Alligator mississippiensis: one gene and its partner. The protein of the gene in region 1 purifies or fractionates together with the protein of each later gene. This does not show direct contact. Links are inferred from orthologs where the notes say so. Each region holds a gene or a part of one and is shown on either strand. Other genes may lie near its edges.

Evidence for each region. The genes of interacting proteins can lie anywhere in the genome.
Region 2: the proteins of DNAJB1 (region 1) and PYCR3 purify together in Homo sapiens (affinity purification with mass spectrometry; 3 studies listed by BioGRID and IntAct, with this or other methods). This does not show direct contact. The link is inferred for Alligator mississippiensis from reciprocal best matches to the Homo sapiens genes DNAJB1 and PYCR3.

The regions. Positions count from the first base shown.
Region 1 is NC_081831.1:24,776,286-24,786,381, reverse strand, and holds DNAJB1 (dnaJ homolog subfamily B member 1), read left to right. Parts: upstream 1-5,843; 5' UTR 5,844-5,953; coding exon 5,954-6,164; intron 6,165-8,043; coding exon 8,044-8,612; intron 8,613-8,722; coding exon 8,723-8,953; 3' UTR 8,954-10,010; downstream 10,011-10,096. Other genes in the region: TECR (very-long-chain enoyl-CoA reductase), read right to left, coding at 1,137-1,151. UniProt on the Homo sapiens protein: Interacts with HSP70 and can stimulate its ATPase activity. Stimulates the association between HSC70 and HIP. Negatively regulates heat shock-induced HSF1 transcriptional activity during the attenuation and recovery phase period of the heat shock response.
Region 2 is NC_081826.1:2,212,606-2,222,826, reverse strand, and holds PYCR3 (pyrroline-5-carboxylate reductase 3), read right to left. Parts: upstream 4,832-10,221; 5' UTR 4,798-4,831; coding exon 4,716-4,797; intron 4,602-4,715; coding exon 4,537-4,601; intron 4,410-4,536; coding exon 4,230-4,409; intron 4,135-4,229; coding exon 3,922-4,134; intron 3,282-3,921; coding exon 3,189-3,281; intron 2,545-3,188; coding exon 2,362-2,544; 3' UTR 2,147-2,361; downstream 1-2,146. Other genes in the region: protein brambleberry, read left to right, coding at 5,581-5,790, 5,968-6,096, 6,298-6,483, 8,300-8,522, 8,743-8,859, 9,048-9,227, 9,733-9,939, 10,107-10,221.

The DNA of each region.
Region 1 (10,096 bases):
CAGCACCCTGCTGCCAGACACTACCCAAATGAGCATAGGTGTCTGCACACCCAATATTCCCCAGCAGCCTTAAAAGGAACTGGAGACACCTGTAGTATCTAATCACCTGTCCTCATATCTACTGTTATCTTCTGGTATGCAACACACATCTTTACTCCCAAAACCACTTGCTGGAATCACAGGACTAGAAGGACGCATGGATTTTGCAGGGAAGGCAGCCAAGCAGAAGCAAACCCCTTAGTTTTCTACCCTACGACATCTACTGGGTGAGGGGTATGGGTTTAAAAACAAACCATGCTGGATGTAACACACCAGTTGGCCCAGTTGCTGCCTTCCAGAGAGAGGTCTGGATCCTTAACACACTGAGGGCTAAACAAAACGTTGGCTCACAGGGACTGCTGACATTCAGGGAGGCAGCTCCCATGCAGCTAGGTCCTCTGAAGTTGCCAGGCTACAAGCTGCGCTAGGAGGGGAGTGTGTGCAGAGCTACCACCACTGTGTGGAGGCCTCTGTACCCTCCCACCTTCTTGGCAAGGCTGTGTGGACACCCTCCATATGCAGCCTCCCCTGGGAACAGCTCCCTGGGAAGATTAAGCAGGTTGGCTGGCTGGGCAGACCAGGACTACTAGCAGCCCCCACCCGCCCCAGGCCTCCGCAGAGCCCAGATAAGCGGATATAGGAGGCAAATGAGGGCAGGCAGGAGACAGCCGTTGCAAGCTGCTGCCTGGAGCATGCACAGGCCTGGGCCGTGCCTGCAGCCGGCGGACAAGGCTCTGCGGCAGAGGTTACAGGCAGCAACCAGGCGTCCTCAGCCCCACTCAGGGCATGCCCCACTTTGTCTCACACGTGCGCATGCGCGAGTTTACCCCGCCACCCTCATCGCATCTTGTGCGCCTGCGCACGTCCAGCCTCTTTTCTGCGTACACGCCGCCTGATTTGATCCACTTTCCTCTGCGCATGCACCCTCTTGTTCACCGAATCCACGCAAGCGTACTGGCTCGCTCCAGCAGCCAGTGCATGCGCAGTGCGCGTCCGCTACCTCTCAGGGCGGAGCGCTCCGGCAGTGGGCCCCTCCTAGCGAGGGAGGGGGGCGGGTCACGGTCCCGGTGCGAGGGGTACGCCGACGGCTTCCTCACCTCATAGTGCTTCATGGCTCCGCGCTCCGCACCTGCTGCTCCTGTCTCCTGGCGCGCGCCACCTTCACGTGATCGCGCCGGACTTCACCTGGGGGGCGGAGCCTCCCCCGCCGGGCCGACAAATCCGAGGAGTCCCGGCCGAGGCTTCGCAGCCAATCAGAGTGAGCGAGGCGCAACGCCCCGCCCCAAACGTCTCCATAGGAACGGTAACGCGTGACGACGTCCTGCCTAACAGGGAGCACTGAAGGCGGGTGGAGTGACTGGGGGACGAGCCAATCGAGTTACGGGGTGGGGGGGGGAATGGGGCCCGCCCACGCACGTGGCCACGGCAGGGTTTCGTGGGGGCTACCGGGGGCAGGTGGGCATGGGGGGTGCGATCCAGGGGGGCCGGGGCCCTGTGGGGGCATGGGCAGGCTGAGGAGGGGCATTTGCAGGGCTATGGGGGTAGGGTCAGGACCCAGCCCTGCAGTACTGCTTCAGACTCACCCCAGACTCAGCCGCCTGGAGGGCACGGGGGTAGGGCAGAGCCGCAGCCCCGTGACTCACGCGGTGAGGGGGGCACCACACCCTTTCCGCAGCCCCAGGAAGGCTGGGCAGGGCAGGGCATGGAGCTTGGGGGAACCCAGGTCAGGCCCTGGAGCCAGCAGGGAGGGCCAGGGACCCTGACCAGGGACCCTGCTGCTGTTCCCTGATCCCCAGCATGCCCAGCCCATCCACAGCTGCATCAGGGCACCCCTGGGTGCAAGAAGCAGGGGGGTTGAGGGGCTGGCTTGCAAGGAGCTGTGAAAGTCAGGGTGGATTTGCACATTACAGACTATATCTATGCTTAAATATAACTTAAATATATATAGACTGCATAGAGACTAACTGAAGTCCAAGCAGCTGCCATCCATTCCCTTCAGGGGAGCCAGAGGGGGCTGTCAAGGCTGCAGTAGCAGCAGGCCCCTGTGGGGCAAGCCGCTGGGCATTATGAGGTGCATTGTGGAAGCCCGGCCACAGCCAGGGTGTAAGGTGCTGTACAGCATTAGAGCACAAACTCCAAGACCCACCAAGCTAAGACGAGACACCAGCTGGGAACGGCTGGGGGAAGACACAGGTTCAAGCGCATGGTACTGCATGATTCGTAGGATACTGGAGGAACTCTGCTGCCCAGAGCAGCTGGTGTCCAGCAGGTGCAGACCCCACACAAGTCCCCAGCCCTGCCCATGCAGGCTGGGAGTTTCTAGCATCTGGGGCAGGGCAGAGCTGGCACAGAGATGGGGGTCCACCTGTTGTAGGGAATCGGGGAGGGCAGGGGCCTCAGGGCACTCCCCCCCCCCCCGCCTCCCCAATTGGCTTCCAGTGCTAGGTGCTGGGCTGCTCAGCTCACACCCCCAGCTCAGGGGTAGCGGGAATATACAGAGCCCCTGGTTGGCCCCACCCCAGCTGCTCCTGCTCTGACATGCAGAGTGCAAGCAGTGCCTGGGCAGGTCCCAACCCCCACGCTAATCCCTAGAGGAATTCTGCTGGCTCAGGTCCTGGCTGCATTTCCAGGCTAAACCTAGATCTCAGAGCACGGTAAGGTGGGGGAGGGTCAGGGCTTGTCTATAGAAATGCCCCCTGCTGCTGCACTAGACTAAAGAAAAACACCTCCTTTCTACTCCATGTAGCACCCAGCTGGAGGCAGGATGCAGCCACCTCTGGGGTGGGACAGCACTGCCTGGAAACAGGAAAGATGAACAACCCAAGCAGCAACTGGAATTGAAGCTGCTGGCCCAGCTGGAACCCAGCCAGGCCAGGCCAGCTCAGCTTCTGGCAGGGGAGAACTCTGCCGCTTGTAGGACCCTCTCTGGCCTACCTGGGATCACAGCTGGGGTGCTGGGAAGGAGAGACCAGCCCTGCACCGCGCCCCAGTGACTCACAGCAGGATCATTTCTCCATGGATTCCTTCCAATTTAGCCAGGTCACAAACAGCCCTGATTTTACCCTGAGGGAAACAGAGGCATGGAGGTGGCAACGTGACGGGAGTGTATGGCAGGGAGAGAACCCAGGTGTACTGGCTCCTAGTGTGTCATTGTTGTCATTGTCCCCCCAGCTCTCGTTCTGTCCAGCTAGACCCTGCGTTGCCCCCAGAGCTGGGACAAGAACCCAGGCTTTCTGTTCCTAGCCCCCTGCCCTATCCCATTAGAGTCTACTGTCCTCCCAAGAGCTGGGAAGAGAACCTAGGCATCCTAGCTCCAGGCCCCCTGTTCTAACCACTCAAGCCCAACCTCCACCCCATCCGCAGTTGTGGATAGAACATGGGCATCCTGACTCTCAGCTCTACACCATTAGAGCCCACTTCCTTTCCAGGGTTGTAATAGAACCAGGTGTCTGGGCTCCCTACTCTATCCACTAGATTCCATGTCACTCCCAGAGCTGGAAGAAAACCCAGGTGTCTGGGTTTCCAGCCCCTAAGAAGCCCTCCCAGTCCTGTCCACTGTGGTCCTGACCCAGACCCAAGGCCTCTGAGGGGGCATCCCTGGGGCCTTGCTAGCAGCACCCCAGAGGACAGGGGATGGGGAACTACCATTCCTCAGCAGGGCCCTGATCCCTGTATCTGGGGCTGCTCCTGGCTGGTTGCCCTGGGGCCTGGTGGTTCAGAGCCTGCTGAGCCAAAGAGAGTCTGGCACTGGGGCAGGGAGGCACGTGGGTCCTGGGGAATGTGGGTCCAGCCCTGATATCAAAGCACCTTGCCCGACAACCCAGGCATTATCCACAGCTTCCTGCCTGGGTCCTATCCACACCACAGCAGCTCTGAGGCCCCAGGGGAGTGTTGGACCCAGCAGGTGACTGTGGAGCAGCTTGTTTGCATGGCATAAAGTTGGGTTAGGATCCAGCCCTATGTTTACCTGCTGCTCTCTGTTCCTGCCTAATGGCTATAAGGGCCATACTTGGGACATAGTTCCCTGTCAGTCTGCCTCCTCCTGGCACCCTCTGACCCCAGCCAGCTGCTTCGGGATCAATACACACACAGACTCTTCAGATCAGGTTCCGAGAGCAAGTGGGGTGCAGTCAGGGGCAGATCTGGGGGGATGGGGGGGGGTGCAGTGGTGATTCCTGGTTTCTCCTCCAGATGTTAAAAACTAGCTGCCAGCAGAGGTAGCAGTATTTCTATTCATGCAGTGTGGGAATTCAACTGACTTCATAGCTCATCATATTCTATCTAGTTCCTGATAATCTTTTCACTCAACTGGTGTTAAGGGACCCTCTCCTTTTTCAGTAGTTTTGATGTTCCACTAATCAAGCTCTCCTTTCTTCTGCAATTCTACTGTCTGTTCACTGATCCTGGTCACGTAGCTCTGATCACTCAGCCCCACAGACACTTTTAACTCTATCTAAAAACATTGATTCAGGTGTGAAAACCTTAGCTGAGGTAAACATTAACTGAGGTGTGGAAATAACTTCCAGAGAAGCGTTGGAGGTACCATCATGATGCTCAAGAAGGCTTGTTTTAGTTTTATTAATGTAAAACCCATTACATTCTAATGACTGCAGGGCTAATGAAACAATGTCTTTTAATTATTTTTTCTGAGTTTGTTTTGTTTTTATATGGACTATATGATACACAAAATTCATACACATCCCAACAAAGCTATATCTGATTGTGTTTCTATCTTAAACTACATCCAGCCCTAAGCCCCTAATATAGAAACTTTACTATTATTTTTTAATTGGAGAAAAATACGTGTTGTGTTGCACACAATGAGGCACCACACCACCTGCACCCCCCTTTCAAATTCTAGATTTGCCCATGGGCAGTGTTACAGGGGCTACATCTCCCCAGGCTCAGTGGAAGAGCAGCAGAGGCGGGCTGTGTTTGTGTGGGGGAGCTAGGGGACATAGGTGTGCGCGTGCTCGTTGGGTTGAACCTGGAGGCATGGGGCTGGAGGGAGGTGCTTGTAGGGTTCAGCAGATTGCTCTTGGGGGTCAATCTCTTAATGAGCTAGGCACAGAAAGGAGTTAGTTGGAGAAATGCACTGCTGATACAACGGGTATTGGCAATGGTGAGGAAGAGTGGAATATCTTGCATGTAGCACACATGGGTGGGGAAGGCCGCGTGGTGAGCAGCTCCCAGTAGCCGCAGGAGCCAAAACTGGTGTTCACTGGGAGCTGGGTCTGCAGCTGAAGGCAGTGGCCTGCTACAGGGCCTGACCTTGGGCAGACTCCCTGCACCTTCTCCAGCCCTGGTGCAGGTGGGTTCCACCCCCTGGTCCCCTAGCCCCATCCCTGGCCAGCTACTCCCTGTGGTGGGGCAAGAAGCTATATGGGGGAGTCTTTTTGCTGCCTGGGGGGTAGCTTTTGGGGGGCTCCAGTAGCCTAGGGTGACGGGCACGTGGTAGGGAGTCCTGTTGTTGGGTGCCCCAGCTGGGACGTCATTGGCACCCCGGGGGGGGGGGCAGGGCTTTGGTGGGCGTAACTTCCCCCTGTAGGTGTGACCAACACTGCGCTCTGTAAGGTACGTCTAGCCTCTGGTACATACATACTCCCCCTCCCTTTCCGGAAAGGGGGCGTGGCTTTGTCGCTCCCAGCGTCCCTCTCTTATTGGCCCTCACAGAGGTGAGGGCGTGGCCTTGACGACAGTTACCCCCTCCCCTCCACCCCGCCCTCACACAGGCAGGTCCTCGCGCGCCCGCCCTCTGTTGGGTCACGCGCCGGCAGCAGCGGGCGTCCATTGGCTGGGGCGGCGGGGCGGAGCGGAGGCTCCGGATGGTTGTGGCGCTCTCTGGAACGTTCGGAGCCCAGGTATAAATGGGCTGAGACTGGGGCGCTGGCGGCGATCGCGGCCGGGCGGCGCCATGGGTAAGGATTATTACGGCACGCTGGGCCTGCAGCGCGGTGCCTCAGACGAGGACATCAAGCGGGCCTACCGGAAGCTCGCGCTGCGCTACCACCCCGACAAGAACAAGGAGCCTGGCGCCGAGGAGCGCTTCAAAGAGGTGGCCGAGGCCTACGACGTGCTCAGTGACCCCAAGAAGCGGGAGGTCTTCGACAAGTATGGCGAGGAAGGTGAGCGCCCGCGCCGTGTGGGGCTTTGGGGCTGCAGGGTTGGGGGCGGGGAGAGGATCCCAATAGCAGCGAGGCTCTGCGGGGCTTGCTGCACAGTGGGAGGGGTGTCCCAGGGAGCGGGGCCTGAGCCGCTGGGGGGGGCAGGGCTGGGGGGGAGAGATGCCCCGAGGGACCCGGGGGCGGGTCCTGCTCCATAGGTGGGAGAGGGGAGTCGGGTCTGCGGGCTCTCCAGGGGGAGTGGGGCTGTGGTGGGGAGCTGGGAATGGAGTGCAGGCTGGGGAGGGGAGGTCTGAGAGGAGTTGGGCTGTGGGGGAGGGCACTGGGGGGAGCTAGCCTGTGGGTGGAGGAGGTGACAGTGCAGGGTCCCCCAAGTGCTGGCCAGGGGTCAGTGCTTTACTGCCCTGGGCTGGGGCTTGCAGTGCAGAGTTGCCCTTTGAGGTAAGGACTATATCCTGAGGGAGGGCTGGGACCTCTAAGGGAAAGGGCATGAGGTGCTGGGAGACTTGTATCCCTGGCTTGGGTACATGGTGAGGGCCTTCCTTGAGGTGTGTGCCAGTCCACAGCTGTCTGCATAGGCTTGATTGGCCTGGGGTGCCCAGGGCAGAAGCACCTCCCCCCCTCCCCCCCCCCCGCAACCCTTCCCTAGTTCCAATGCTGGGTTGGAGAAGATGAGCCTGATGGGTCTTCTGAGGGGAGCTGTGGGCTAGGGCTGACCAGTGCTGCCCCTGGCGCCAGCCTAGCTGTGGAAACGGAAGTCAGGAAGCAGCCAAGCAGGACTGACTTGAGGAACAGGGGAGAGACCTGCAGTATGTGGCATCTTAGAAAAAAGTGGATACAGGCTCTTGCTACCTGTGCGGGCTTGGAAACTGGCCAGATGAATCCTTATCTCTTGCTGCTAGCTGCTAACTTTTAGCTTTGACACTGTAAAGAGTCCTTATTTCATGCTTTCTTGGGGCCTGTTCTAAAGCTGAAGGACAAGGACCTGGGGCACAGTGTGCTTGCCTGACTCCCCACCTTAAGGGTGGAAGTGTCAGGATTGGTCTAGATCAAGCCTTTAATTTAGCACTGAGGGCACACAGGCTTGTTCTACTGCTCCTTGCATGAGCCTTGCAGCTCCTGGCTCATACCTGTGACTGAGCTGTTGCTTGGAGACAGTGGGTGAGGAACCAGAACTGGCAGAACAGGAGAGAAAACATCCTGAAACAGCTTTGCAGTTTTTGTAAAGCTGGCCTGTGTTCTTGGTAGACATTGAGCTTGCCCTTGTGTGCCAAAGTGTTGGCAGGTCTGTGTGGATTGGCTGTGTTGGGAGAGGTGGAGCCTTGCAAGGGCGTGGCTTGGAGTTACAAGCAAACAAATATGCTAGAATCTTCTGTGTTAACTTGAACTCCCTGCAGCCCCTGCCTTAATCTCCCAAGGCAGGAAGAGCTTGCCTTGCTGTTTCCAAGCACCCTCAATTGCTATTGTGCCTCTGGGGCTGCTGTTAAGCATGTGTTTTCCTTCAGTTCAGGAATAGGAAGTCCATAGGCTCCTACGTTCCCTGCCTTGATATGGGGAGGGGGAATGTTAACCCAAATGATACAATCAAATTCACTGTATAAACTGATCTGTGTTTGAAAAGCTGGAAGCTCTGGATATCAGAACTCTTGGAGGTGACTCTAATTTCCCTTGTGATTAGAGAAAGTACTTGCCAGGTCAAGATGAGACTTCTCTTCTGTGAGGCACCTCAGAACTGAAGGATGAGACAAAATGACAATGGTGGTGGGAACAGAGGCCAAAAGCTTGGATGGTTCTGGAGCTGGGGATCTGGAATCCTGGGGTAAGCACATGAGTGAAAGTGGAGACTGATAAACTAACAGCAGGTTTATTGCCTGTTTTTCAGGGCTAAAAGGAGGTGGCTCCAACATGGGAGGTGGTGCTAATGGCCCATCATTCACCTACACGTTCCATGGAGACCCTCATGTTGTGTTTGCTGAGTTCTTTGGAGGCCGGAATCCCTTTGATACCTTCTTCATGCAGAGGAATGGGGATGAAGACATGGACATTGATGACCCTTTTGTCACCTTCCAAATGGGAAGTTTCAGCAATGCGGGTTTCCCCCGCACCCGAGGGGGCCACAACAGCCTTCGCCGGAAGCAGGACCCTCCCATCACGCATGACCTGAGGGTCTCCTTAGAGGAGGTCTACTCGGGCTGCACCAAGAAGATGAAGATTTCTCACAAACGTCTCAACCCGGATGGGAAGACGACACGCAACGAGGACAAGATCCTAACCATTGAGGTGAAACGGGGGTGGAAGGAAGGGACCAAGATCACATTCCCCAAGGAGGGTGACCAAACGCCCAACAACATTCCAGCCGACATTGTCTTTGTTCTAAAAGACAAGCCACACAGCATCTTCAAGAGGGATGGCTCGGACATCATCTTCCCAGCTAAGATCAGCCTCCGAGAGGTGAGTTAGGGGGTCTGGGTACAGGACTCGCTGGAGTTCTAGCTTTGGGTCTGGGGTGTACAGACCTTTTGTTGAATTTCATGGTCTCTCTGACTTGTCTCTCTCTGCAGGCCCTGTGTGGCTGCACGGTGAACGTCCCAACGCTGGATGGCAGGACCATTCCCATGTCATTCAAAGACATCATCAAGCCTGGAGCAAAGCGCAGGATCACTGGGGAAGGTCTCCCATACCCCAAGAACCCAGACCAACGCGGGGATCTTATCATAGAGTTTGATGTGCGGTTCCCAGACAGAATCCCCCAGACATCCAAGAAAGCTCTGGAGCAGATCCTTCCCATCTAGTTTGTGCAATCTGTGGACCTGAGACCAAGACTGGCTGAACACCAAAGCCTGTGGGACCATAGCCTTGGGCTCCAGGCTGGGGCTCTGGGAACTTGGTTTCAGTGCCTTGACCCAGAACATTGCTTGAATCACCTACACCAGTGAGCTGCTACATTTGGGAGGAGCCTACAGACACACTGCTGACAAATCATCTTGTAAGGATGTGACCAATGACTCAACCCACTGTCTGCATCCTGGGCAGCCCTAAATAGGACAGCTGCCTTGCACTTCATCTCTTGCTGAGTTGGAATCCCTTCACCATGTGGGGGGCATAAACTCCAAACTGGACAGTCCTTACTGTTGTAGTCCTTGCTTTGTGTCTTGTGTTCCTTGTTAATTCACTGGAGAACTTTTATCCTGGGTCACTTGGATGTTCTTGGCTATGAATTCCCACCTCAGAGTCCTGCCTGCCTATTTTGTTTGCTGGAAGGTGGATATACTCTCGCTGAACTTAATTGTGGGTCTGTGAAAATAACCCTGGTAAACACTAGGGCTTAAACAAATGTCTTGAAGATGAGATGAAATGAATAAGCCCTGGAGTTTAAACCAGTAGCTATCCAGGCCTAGAAAAATAATGCAAAGGGATTTCCTGGGTCTTAAATATAATCTGCTTTTTCAAATCTTTTTTCTGAAGAGACTTTCATAGATGCATCCCTCTACATTCTTGGGCTCAATTCCTGGTAGGGCAATGGGCTGAGCAGGTATTGCCTGGTTCTTGCATCTCTGCCAGCAGCAGAGTCTGACTCCTTTCCTTACTCACAGTTGCTGTCTTAAACCAGAGGATTTTGGCCAACCACTGAACTCTGGGGCATTTGAGGCCTTGGCCTCTGAGCTTGTTAACACCACCTTTGCTATCCTTTTTTAATTAAAGGGTTCCTGCTCCTGGTACAGGAGCATTACAGCACTTCTTGTACATACTTTGTATAAAAGTTGTGTAAATTTGACATGTAATTAAAATGCAGTGGAGAGGCTGGTTTATTTTATAGGATTGTATCTGAATTAAAGACTCATGGGAGGAGCTGGTGACCTTCCCTTTTTTTAAACATGCAGCACTGTTTTGAAGTATGGCTGGACTGACAATTTTCAGTTACTAATGTGATAAGA
Region 2 (10,221 bases), on another chromosome or scaffold:
ATGCAAGTAGAGGGGACCGGGTGCTGGTCTTTGGAAAGGGCTCCAGGCTTCCAGCTGTGAACCCACGCGCGGTCCTGCCTGCAGTCACCTGCACAAACTTTGGGAGCCAGGGAGCGTAGCTGCCTTTGAGCTGCGTCAAGAGCCCTGCCACGCATGTGGTGCCAGGGGACCCTGTGCAGACAGCAGAGCTGGAGGGGGCTGCCACCGCGGCAGGGGTGGCGGCTCCAGGACCCACGGTTCAAATTCAGGACAAACGTCCCCAAGTTCAGGATCATCCCAGAACGTCCGACAGCCGGTCCCAGGGCTCCTGGCCTTTGCTGACTGCGGATGGGCCCTGGGCTTGTGGCTCACTGTCACGTTATTGGGTCTGCTTGGGCCTGGTCCTCTCTCAACCTTCTTCCCCCCCAAAAAACTCAGCTTTTTCTGCACTCTGAGAATCACAGATTAAGGTTAGCAGGGACCTCAGGAGATCCCATCTAGCCCAATGATGACCTCAAAGCAGGACCAGCCCCAACTACATCATCCCAGCCAAGGCTTTGTCTAGTCAGGGCTTAAAAACCTCCAAGGACGGAGTCTCCCCCACCTCTCTGAGTAACCTCTTCCAGGACTTCACCACCCTCCTGGTGAGAGAGGTTTTCCTAATATCTGACCTCAACTTCCCTTGCTGCAGCTTGAGCCCATTGCTCCTTGTCCTGCCATCTGCCCCCACTGAGAACAGCCCAGCTCCATCCTCTTTGCAGCCCCCCTGCAGGGAGGTGAAGGCTGCTATTCAATCCCCCTCCGTCTTCTCTTCTCCAGACTGAATCAACCCAGGTCCCTCAGCCTCTCCTCACTAATCACTTGCCCCCGGCTCCAGCAGGAAATGTCCAGGGTGAGCGTTGGAAATGTCCATAGGCCTGGAGATGGTGCTGATATCTTTGACTGGGATAATTTGGTAGAAGGAATTCCAGTTCCTGCCTGGCCGGAGAGGAGACGGCCTGGGAGAACACACATCACCCTCTTTCCCATCGCTTTTGCTTGGGGGGGCAGGATCCGCTCTCCTCAGCAGCACCTGCCACCAGCATCTCTCCTGGTCCCCCCAGGTGCCACCTGGAGCAACACCCACCTGCTAGAGGCCCACAGGTGCAGGGCAGGGAAGGGTCCGAGCGGATGGAGCACAGCTGACAGCCTTGGTGGCTTGTCCTAGCTGCGTTTTCCCTGCTGCCAAAGCCTCCCGGTGCCCCACTTGGCCCAATGCAGCTCTACGAGTCAGATGGGTCTCAGTTAGCCGGGGCTGGCCATGCTGAGCTTTGGGACAGGCACCGAGCCTTGCCCAGGACACAGGAGCTGCTGTGCTCAGCCTTGCTGACCACTCTCCCAGCTGGCCGGGGCAGCAGACAGCATCTTCAGGTGACGTGGTGTCACTCATCACAGCTCTGCATCTAGACCAGGTGCCACTGGCCAGCCTGGCAGTGCCAGAGCTGAGAGTGCAACAAAGTCCAAGGGCTCCTAGGATGCACCGAGGGGCTTCCTCTTTGCTAGGACCTGTTGCTATTCCCCTCCTTGCTCCAACCAAAACCCAGCAGGGCTGTGGGAGGCCAGGGGTCCAGCTGCGAGCCAGAGAGCACATCCAACCTCCTCCCCAGAGCATCTTGGGAGCATGACATGTGGCACTGACCCCCGGGACACATGCAGGCGGTGCTCAGCCAAGCAGGAGCTGCAAATCCTGACAGCAACACATACACCAATGACTTGAAGTTGCAGCAAAGCAGGTTTAGGTTGGATGTCAGGAAAAACCTCCATGGTGTCAGGGCAGGGAGAGAAGCCCAGGGAAGTGGGAGCCTCTCCGTCACTGGAGGTGTTCAAGGAGAGGTTGGGCAGCTACTGGGCTGCACCAATGCTCCTGATGGAACCAACCCAGCAGGATCCTGCCCCTCCGCTCGGGCTCAGACCGACGCTGCACTGCGGGCAGGAAGGGTGCCCTATCTGGTGACGTGTCAGGGATGACAGCAGTTTTAAAGTTTAGATGATGGATGGGTCTGGGCTGGTTTGCACAGGGCTGATCCTGCCTCAGGAAGGGGTTGGACCGGATGTGACCTCTGCCGGTCTCTTCCAGCCTGGCTTCTCCATGATCGCAGGACACAGGAGACCCCGAGGAGCCAAGGGGAACAGCACAGCAGCTGCCTGCACCATTTATTGGAGCCGTGGCCCACTGAGAGCACAACCAGCAGGCACAGAGCAGGCCCAGGTCCCAACCCTCCCGTGGAAAGCCGCCTCCCTGGGCAGTGAAAGTCACGTCCACGAAGGAGCAGGGCTAGGAGGGCGACACCTGCCCCGGCCTGGCATGCTCCGGGCAGCCTCCATGGTGCTGCGCTGCAGGCCCTAGTTCTTGCCCAGCTCGCGGGCCCGAATGGTGCCAGCCTCCACGGCGTTCATGACAGCAGCCCGCAGCCCGCCCTTCTCCAGCTCGTGCAGGGCGTGGATGGTGGTGCCGCCGGGTGTGCACACATCCGCCCGCAGCTTGGCCGGGTGCTCCCCTGTCTCCAGCATCATCTTGGCTGCTCCCTGCAGGCAGAGGCAAGGTGTGGGGGGTGGGGTGCATCTCACAGCACCCCTGCTCCTGCTGGAGCCCATGCTACGGCCACACGCTCCCTCCTCTCGCACTTCCGTGGCATCCACCCAGCTCAAGGAACCCGCTGCATGCACGAGGTAGGTGCCTGACCCCTGCTCACGATGCCTCCAAGAGCCTGGCCAGGGGGGATCAGACCAGGCTGGGACTGGTGACCTGGTGCTGCGCCTAACACTAAGCTGCACTCCAGCTCCTCTGCTCACACGGCTTCGATCTTTCCAACAACGTCAGTGCCCAGCGTGATAGAGATGCTTCCTCAGCCATTACAAGGCATCTGCCTGGCTTCCCCCAGCTCAGCCCTAAGACTCCAGCGGCTGGAGCCAAGTGGTCTCCAGCTGCTTGGATCCTAAGGGGACGCCAGCCCGGCTGGGAGTGCCACAGCCCCTTGGAGAAGAGTCCCCAGGAGGGGAGAGGGAGCCACAGGGAAGCAGGAGGTAGGGACACAACCAAGGACTTTCCCCCCAGAACCAGACCTGCAGCAGAGGGAGGCTTGGGGCTGGAGGAGCAGGGGTTGGGGACAGAGCGCCCCGGGAAGGGCAGGACGGGGAGCTCCTGGCAGGCAAGCCAGGTGTGTGCTCACCAGCAGGGTCTGGGCAGCGATCCGGCTGGCCAGGGGCCCGGACATGCCCATCTTCACTGCTCCCTCCGCCAGGGCTTCAGCAAACATGTAGACCTGGTGGGGGGAGAACAGCCCACCATTAGCCCACGGCCGTGAACCTGCTGCTTCTGGAGGACGGAGCCCGGCAGAGCCACGTGCTCCACCCTGCGCTGGCGGCCCCGGTCCCACTGGATCACAGCTGGATCCTGCCACGATCCTTCGTGGGTCGTGCCCACAACGCAAAGCGTCTGGCGGAGGTCAAGGCCAGAGCGCTCAGCCTGGCAAGGCAAGAGGTAGTGGGGGGCCTTCTGGGGCCAGTTCAGGGGCACGGACAGACGAGATGGTTACACCGGCGTAATCTGCCTCGGCTTAGGCGTGAAGCAGAGGAGACGACGAGACCTGCCGCGGCCCGTGTCAGATAGCTACCCCTAGGAGAGCAAGGGGCATGACGACACGGGTGCAGGCTGTCCTGGGACAGGCGCCGTCTGTCCAGCTTACCCCAGGGCAGCCATGTGCTCCTTTGGCAAGGGACACCCAGGCCCCAACCCACCCTAGGGGGTGCTCCCCGCAGCAGAGCACGGCTGGGCCCCGTGCAAGGGTCAGGGAGCCCCAAACGCCCGGACCGAAGCCGCAGAGCAACACTCGGGCGCGCCTGCAGTCGGGCCGCAGCGCAGGCGCCCAGGCAGGCCCGCGGGGTCCCGCCGCCGGCACTCACGTAGGCCACGCCGCTGCCGCTGAGCCCGGTGTGGATGTCGATGTAGGACTCGGGCACCTCCTCGCACAGCCCGCAGGCCGCCAGCAGGCCCTGCAGCACGGCGGCTTCACGCTCCCCCGCGCAGCGCCCCCGGGCGAACACCACCGCCCCCGCCTGCACCACGCACGGCAGGTTGGGCATGAACCGCAGCACCTTGGTCCCGGGCGGCAGCATCTGCAGGAAGACACGGAGGTGGGGCCGAGCCGGGGCCGCGCGGGGCGGGGCGGGGGGCGGGCCGCCCGCCCCGGGGCCCTTCTCCCGCCACTCACCTGCTCCAGGGTCTGCAGCGTGACCCCCGCCACCAGCGACACGAGGACGTGGTTGGGGGTGACGAGGGGGGCGATCTCCTGCAGCACGCCGGGCAGCACGTGGGGCTTGGTGGCCAGGAAGACCAGGATGCAGCTCTGCACCACCTCCCCGTTGCTGTGCGTGGTCCGGCAGCCCAGCTCCTGCGCGGGGACGGGAGGGGACGGGGCGGGGCGGGTCAGCCCCGCGCCCAGCACCTCCCCCTCCTCGGACCTGGGTCCCCACCAGCGCCCCCCGCCCCACCCGCCCGCCCGCCCGCGAGGGGCTCACCTCGAAGGCGCGCAGGTTGCGGGTGCTGGGGGCGCTGGCCCACACCTGGGCAGCCGGCACCTTCCCTGGGGGGACACGGGGCACGGGTCAGCGCCTGGCCCCCCTCCCCTCCCCACCCCACACCCCCAAGCCCCGGCGGAGATAGGGGGATGCCCGTGGGGGCAGCGGCCCGGCCCCACCTGCCAGCACGGCCCCGCGGGCCACCCCCAGCGCCATGCGCCCGGCGCCCACGAAGCCCACGCGCGGCCCCGGCGGCTCCATGCGTCCCGCGTGGGCCCCGCCCCGCCCGCGTGACCCCGCGCCCCACGTGGGCGCATGAACCCGCGTCACGTGGCCCCCCACGTGGGGGTTTGGACCCCGCCCCGCGTGCCCGCCCCCCACCCACGCCGAGCGAGCTTGCCCCGCCCTCGCTCCGCGGATTGGCTGCCGCTGGGGGCGGTGTCACGGGCCGGTGGCGTCATAGGGGCCCCCGGGGGATTTCCCCTGCTCCGGCTGCTCTGTAACCAGGTAAGGGGGGGGGGCTGCACCGTCTCCATGGTAACCTGCTCAGCAACAGGTCCCGCCCACTTCCTGCGCCTTTCCCGGTAGGGGTGGGACCTGACTTCATGCGTGTGTACACACACACACACACACACACACACACACACAGGCGATGCGCACGCGGATGCACATGTGCACACACACTCATATGCGTATCTGGGCATGCTACACATGCACGGGCAATGCATGCACGGATGCACATGCATGTAAAGGCGTGCATGCTCCCCCACATGCACATGTGCGCAGGCATGCACATGCGTGGTCCTGTGTGCATCCAGGCACGCACACTCATACACATGTGTGTGCACACAGGCACCCTCCCCTAGTGCTGAGTGCACAGGGCTGTGGCCCACGGCGCACACGTGTGTGCACGTGGGGCTCCTGCCACTGCCACGGGGCTGGGCCCTGCTCTGGCCCGGGGAGGCTGCAGGGGCTGGGACGGCAGCCCCCTACCCTAAACCCCACCCGGCCCCTTCACCCCACAGCGTCCCCGCGCCCCCAGCGATGCTGCCGTGGAACTGCTGGGCTGTCCTGCTGCCCGCCCTGCTGTGCGCGCCCTGCCACGGGCTCTTCGGGTGGCTGCGTGGCCCCCCGGCCAGCCCCACGCCGGCCCCCCGCCCTGCGGCCCCCTTCGAGATGGGCGCGGGCGACGAGCGCTTCCTGGCCGAGGCCCGGCTCCTGGACCTGTCTGCGCTGGACGCGTGCCACCACCAGGTGAAGGCGTGGCCCCTGGGCGGCGTGGCCCCTGGGCTCCCCGGGGACCGCGTCTGCTGGCAGCCCCGGGGTGCGTCTCCCAGCGCAGCCGGGCCCTCGTGGGTCTGCGCCGGGGCTGGGAGGGAAACCGAGTCGGGCCCTGGCGTCACGGTGCTTTTCCCGCCTGCCCGCCCGCAGGTCGTGGCCCGGCTCCGCTCGTCCTGCGCCGACATGGCCGAGGAGGAGGTGGCCAAGCTGGGGGTGTCGCTCTTCAACTGCCAGGCCAGCGCCGAGGGGCGCCGCACCTACCCCTGCACCGCCGGCATGGTACGGGGTCCCGCTGGGGCAGCCGGGTCGAGACCCTCCCTCGGTCTGCATGGGGGCGGTGGAGCTCGTTGCACCCCCGCCCTTTGCCCTGTGCTGCCCAGCCCTCTTGCACCATGCAGGTGCCCCCCACGCGACTCGAGTCTCCCCTTGCTCTGCGCCCCGGCTCTGTACCGTAACCCTGCCCGGCCCCCTCTCCCCCAGAGCCTCGCGGCGTGCACGGCGGGCATGGACCCCGACACCTGGAACGCCTACCACATCGTCAGCAACCGGGCCCGAGCCGTCTGCTACGCCACCCGCCAGCTGCAGTTCAGGCGCCGGACGGAGCAGACGGTCAACGCGCTGGTCTCCACGGCCGCCGGCCAGCTGGAGGCCATGAGGATGCTCAAGGTGGGTGTCCCAGCAAGGACTTGACTTGCCGGGCAGCTGGGGTGACGCGGGGCTTGGGTCCAGAGTGTGGCCAGCTGGCACCAACCCCGCAGGGTCCTGGCTGGAGGGTCTTGCCCCCACGCTCATGCTGCCCTGGGGGCAGGAAGGGATTTCCCCCCAACTCAGACTGGTGCATACTGGGGAGAAATCCCTTCCATTACTGGTCTTCCTCTGTAATGGGGGCACGGCCTGGGCTTTCTGGAGGGGACATGAACAGCCTTTTAAGCAAGCAGGATGTTGGAGGCTGTGGCTTTCTCAGCCCCAAAGGACCCTCTGTGCCCCAAGGCTTGCATGCCGCCTACTTGCCATGTGTTTGGTCCAATAAAAGATATCGCCCCAACACCCTGGCTTCTCCCATACTCTCTCAACCCCGTTCGACTTGGGGCACTCTCCAAAAATACCGGCTCTTTGCTTTCACCCCATGTCCGACAATGACCAAGTCCTAGAGCAATTCTTCTGTTGCAAACAGCCCAGCGAGCCCACAGCAGCGCAGAACGGTTTGGACGCGGGAGTGCAGCAAGGGAGGTTGAGGCTGGATATTAGGAAGAACTTTCTCATGAGGAGGGTGGTGAAGCACTGGGCCAGGCTCCCCAGAGAGGTGGGGGAGTCTCCATCCTTGAAGGTTTTGAAGACCCGGGTAGACAAAGCCCTGGCTGGGATGATGTAGCTGGGGCTGGTCCTGCTTGGAGCAGGGGGTTGGACTAGATGGGACCTCCGGAGATCCCTCCAACCCTCATTTTTTATGATTCCTGTTTGAAATCTCTGGGTTTATGTTGTGAATCGCATGTACGTGTTTTGCAGAGCTACGGCCCCTACCAGATGTGCAGGTAAAGGTGTGATGGGATCTAATGCACAATCCACGCAATCACGCTTCCTGCCATGCCACGTGTGCCGGAGGTGTGATTATGGCCAGAGGTGCGATTGTGGGATTGAGCCTCCCATCACGCCTTGCTGCTAGTGCAGGGGGAGCTTGGTGTCGCATCAGTCCTGCCGTGGACTAAATCAGTCCCGAGACAGTTGTGACGCAGAGGCCGTGCTCCTCGCTCCCGTGCTTAATAGCTACTGATGCCCTGTTCCTCCAAGAACATGTCCAATCCCTTTGTGAGCCTGGCTAAACTCACAGCTTCCACCACGTCTGGTGGTGACAAGCTCCACGTTTTAATGACATGCTGGAGGAAAAAGACCTTCCTGTTGTCACAATCCCAGGCTCCCCTTGTACCAGCAAGCTCCTGCAGCTGGGAGCTCCCTCAGCTGATTGAGGGAAGGGGGGGGTCATGGTGCTCCCCTACAGCTGAGAAGACCCATCAGCGGCGGGGGGTCATGGCCATGGGGAGCACCTGGCCACTAGTTCAGCTAGTGGTGTGATGCAAACCAGCGACAAAGTTGTTACCTGTTTTTTTGTGGAACACCTTTGTGGCTTGTTCCTTGGTTTACAGTGCCGTTAATGGCTGTAACGTGTGGCCGAGTTGCAACCTAAGATGTAATTTTTGGTTAATGGCATCTCAAGTGCAACATGTGGCAGGGGCTTGACAGTGGTGATGCTGTGCCACCCTTAAAACAGTCTTGTGGCACCCCAGCGTGCTACAGCACCCCGGTTGAGAATCACCGCTCTGGTCCATCCCAGCTTCTGTACTGCTCCTGCCCAACTACAAGGTAAAGCAAGGCATGCTGGGATTGGTAGCCTACCCCCAGCCACGCTTCTGCCCCCCATGGGTAGCCCTGCTAGGGGAGTTGCCTTCCTCGCAGGGCTCTGAGCTGGGCCCCACGTCTCCGGCAGGACGGGCAGGAGGAGCTGAAGGAGCTGACGGAGGAGTCCCTGCAGCGGGTGGTCCGTGGCCAGCACGAGCTGCTGGTGGAGCAGGAGAGACTGCAGGGCGGCCAGGAGCAGATGGCATCCTCCCTCCGCGGCAACCTGGAGCAGCTAGCCCAGGAGGAAGCCCTGATCGCCAGCGGGCAGCAGCAGGTGGCTCAGCTCATCGAGGGCATCACCAGGAAGATGGGTGAGCATGGTGCACTGTCCCATGCATGGTGCCCACTGGCCACCCTGCAATCCCCGTGGCCTGGAGCTCCTGTGGGAGGTCTGGAAGGGGGCCCCAAGGTGCAGCTGGCCCCGGCATGACCCTCCCTGGGCCGCAGGAGCTGGCTGGAGGCTCCTTGTCCCAGGCGTAGCTGAGCATGGGATGGGGTCTCACGGGGGTCCTGCCCCTCTCTGCCCCACAGAGAACATGAGCATCCACCTGGGCGAGCAGGACGTGGAGCTGCAGGAGGGGCACCGGGCCATCCTGGCCGACCTCGGCCGCGTGCAGAGCCGCACCCAGCAGGTCTACGCCAAAATCGGTACCGGGGCAGGAGGGGCATGGGCTGGATGCTCCCAGCTGGGACTATGGCAGCTGGCATAGGCAGTCTCCACCATCTCTCCCTTCCTTGGGACCCTTGGCCCTGCCCTGGATGGGACCCCCCTGCCAGAGCCAGCTGCCCCCTGCCAGCAGCATGGGCACTAGGCTCCGGGTTTCCTCCACCCCCAGAGTCTGACCTGGCGCTGATCCAGTCCTACCAGAGCCAGACAGGCCTGTACTACGAGGAGCTGATGGGCAAGCTGCAGCGGGTGAATCGGAGCCTGGGGCAGGTGCTGGGCGCCGTGGAGCACTTGCAGAGCAGCGTGGAGAGCCGGCTGCAGCACGTCCAGAGCGTCATCGCCTGGACAGGTGACACGGGGCTGAACCCGGTTGGGCTCCACAGCTCGGTGTGAGCAGGCCTTAGGGAACAGACGCAGCACTTACCGTGGGGTAACTGAACCTGGGGTAAGGAGCAGACACCCCAGCCACACTTGGTGCTATTGCAGCACGTGGCGACTAGGGCAGCCCATCTCCTTCGGGGAGATACCCTGGGCTGGTGGAGCAGACACATGGCTGCCCTGGGGTATAGTTACCCCTGGCATAAAGCCGCGTGTCCTTGCTGCTCCTAAAGTAGCCTCTGTCCAAGCCCTCGCTGGCCGTCCCTAGGTTGTTCAGTACTGGAGCACCATCCATCCGCTCTTGTCCTTTCCCCTGTGGCTCTAGCTGGTGACCTTCCTCTCCAGGTGGAGTTAGGGGGTGCACTGACACCCCCCAACCCCCAGCCTGAGCAGGGACCGGCAGGGCCCCGGTGCCAGCCCAGGAGCTGGCCTGGTGCCCAGGGATGCCTAACCAACCTTGCTCCCTCCTCTCGCAGGGGTGAGCCTGGGGGCCATCTCCACCTGCACGCTGCATGCCGCCTACTTCCTGCTGGCCGCCCTGCTCCTGGCCTTCCTGCAGACGCCGGGACTGCCCCGTGCCGCCCTCCTGGTGCTGGTGGCGGCCAATGCACTCTCCGAGCTGCAGCGCGCTGCCTCCCTGGGCTTCCCGGCACTCACTGCCCTCCTGGTGCTCGTCATCATGGGTGGGTACAGCTGGGCTCCCTTCCTCTGCACCCGGGGTTGCCAGGTTTGGGTGGATGCCAGGGTCATGCATGGACCCAGCAGCCCGAGGTGGGGAAAACTGCATTGCTCTCTGCAAGTGGGAGCAGCACTGGGCTGACCGTGGCTGCATTTCCCCCTCTTTATGCAGGGCACTGGCTGCTGACCAGTGTGTGCCATGGGGCCTGGAGGGTGCAGGGCCAGAAGCCCAGGCTCACCCTGCTGCCCACTCCCCAGAGAGCCGTGGGGGCCAGGGCTGATCCCAG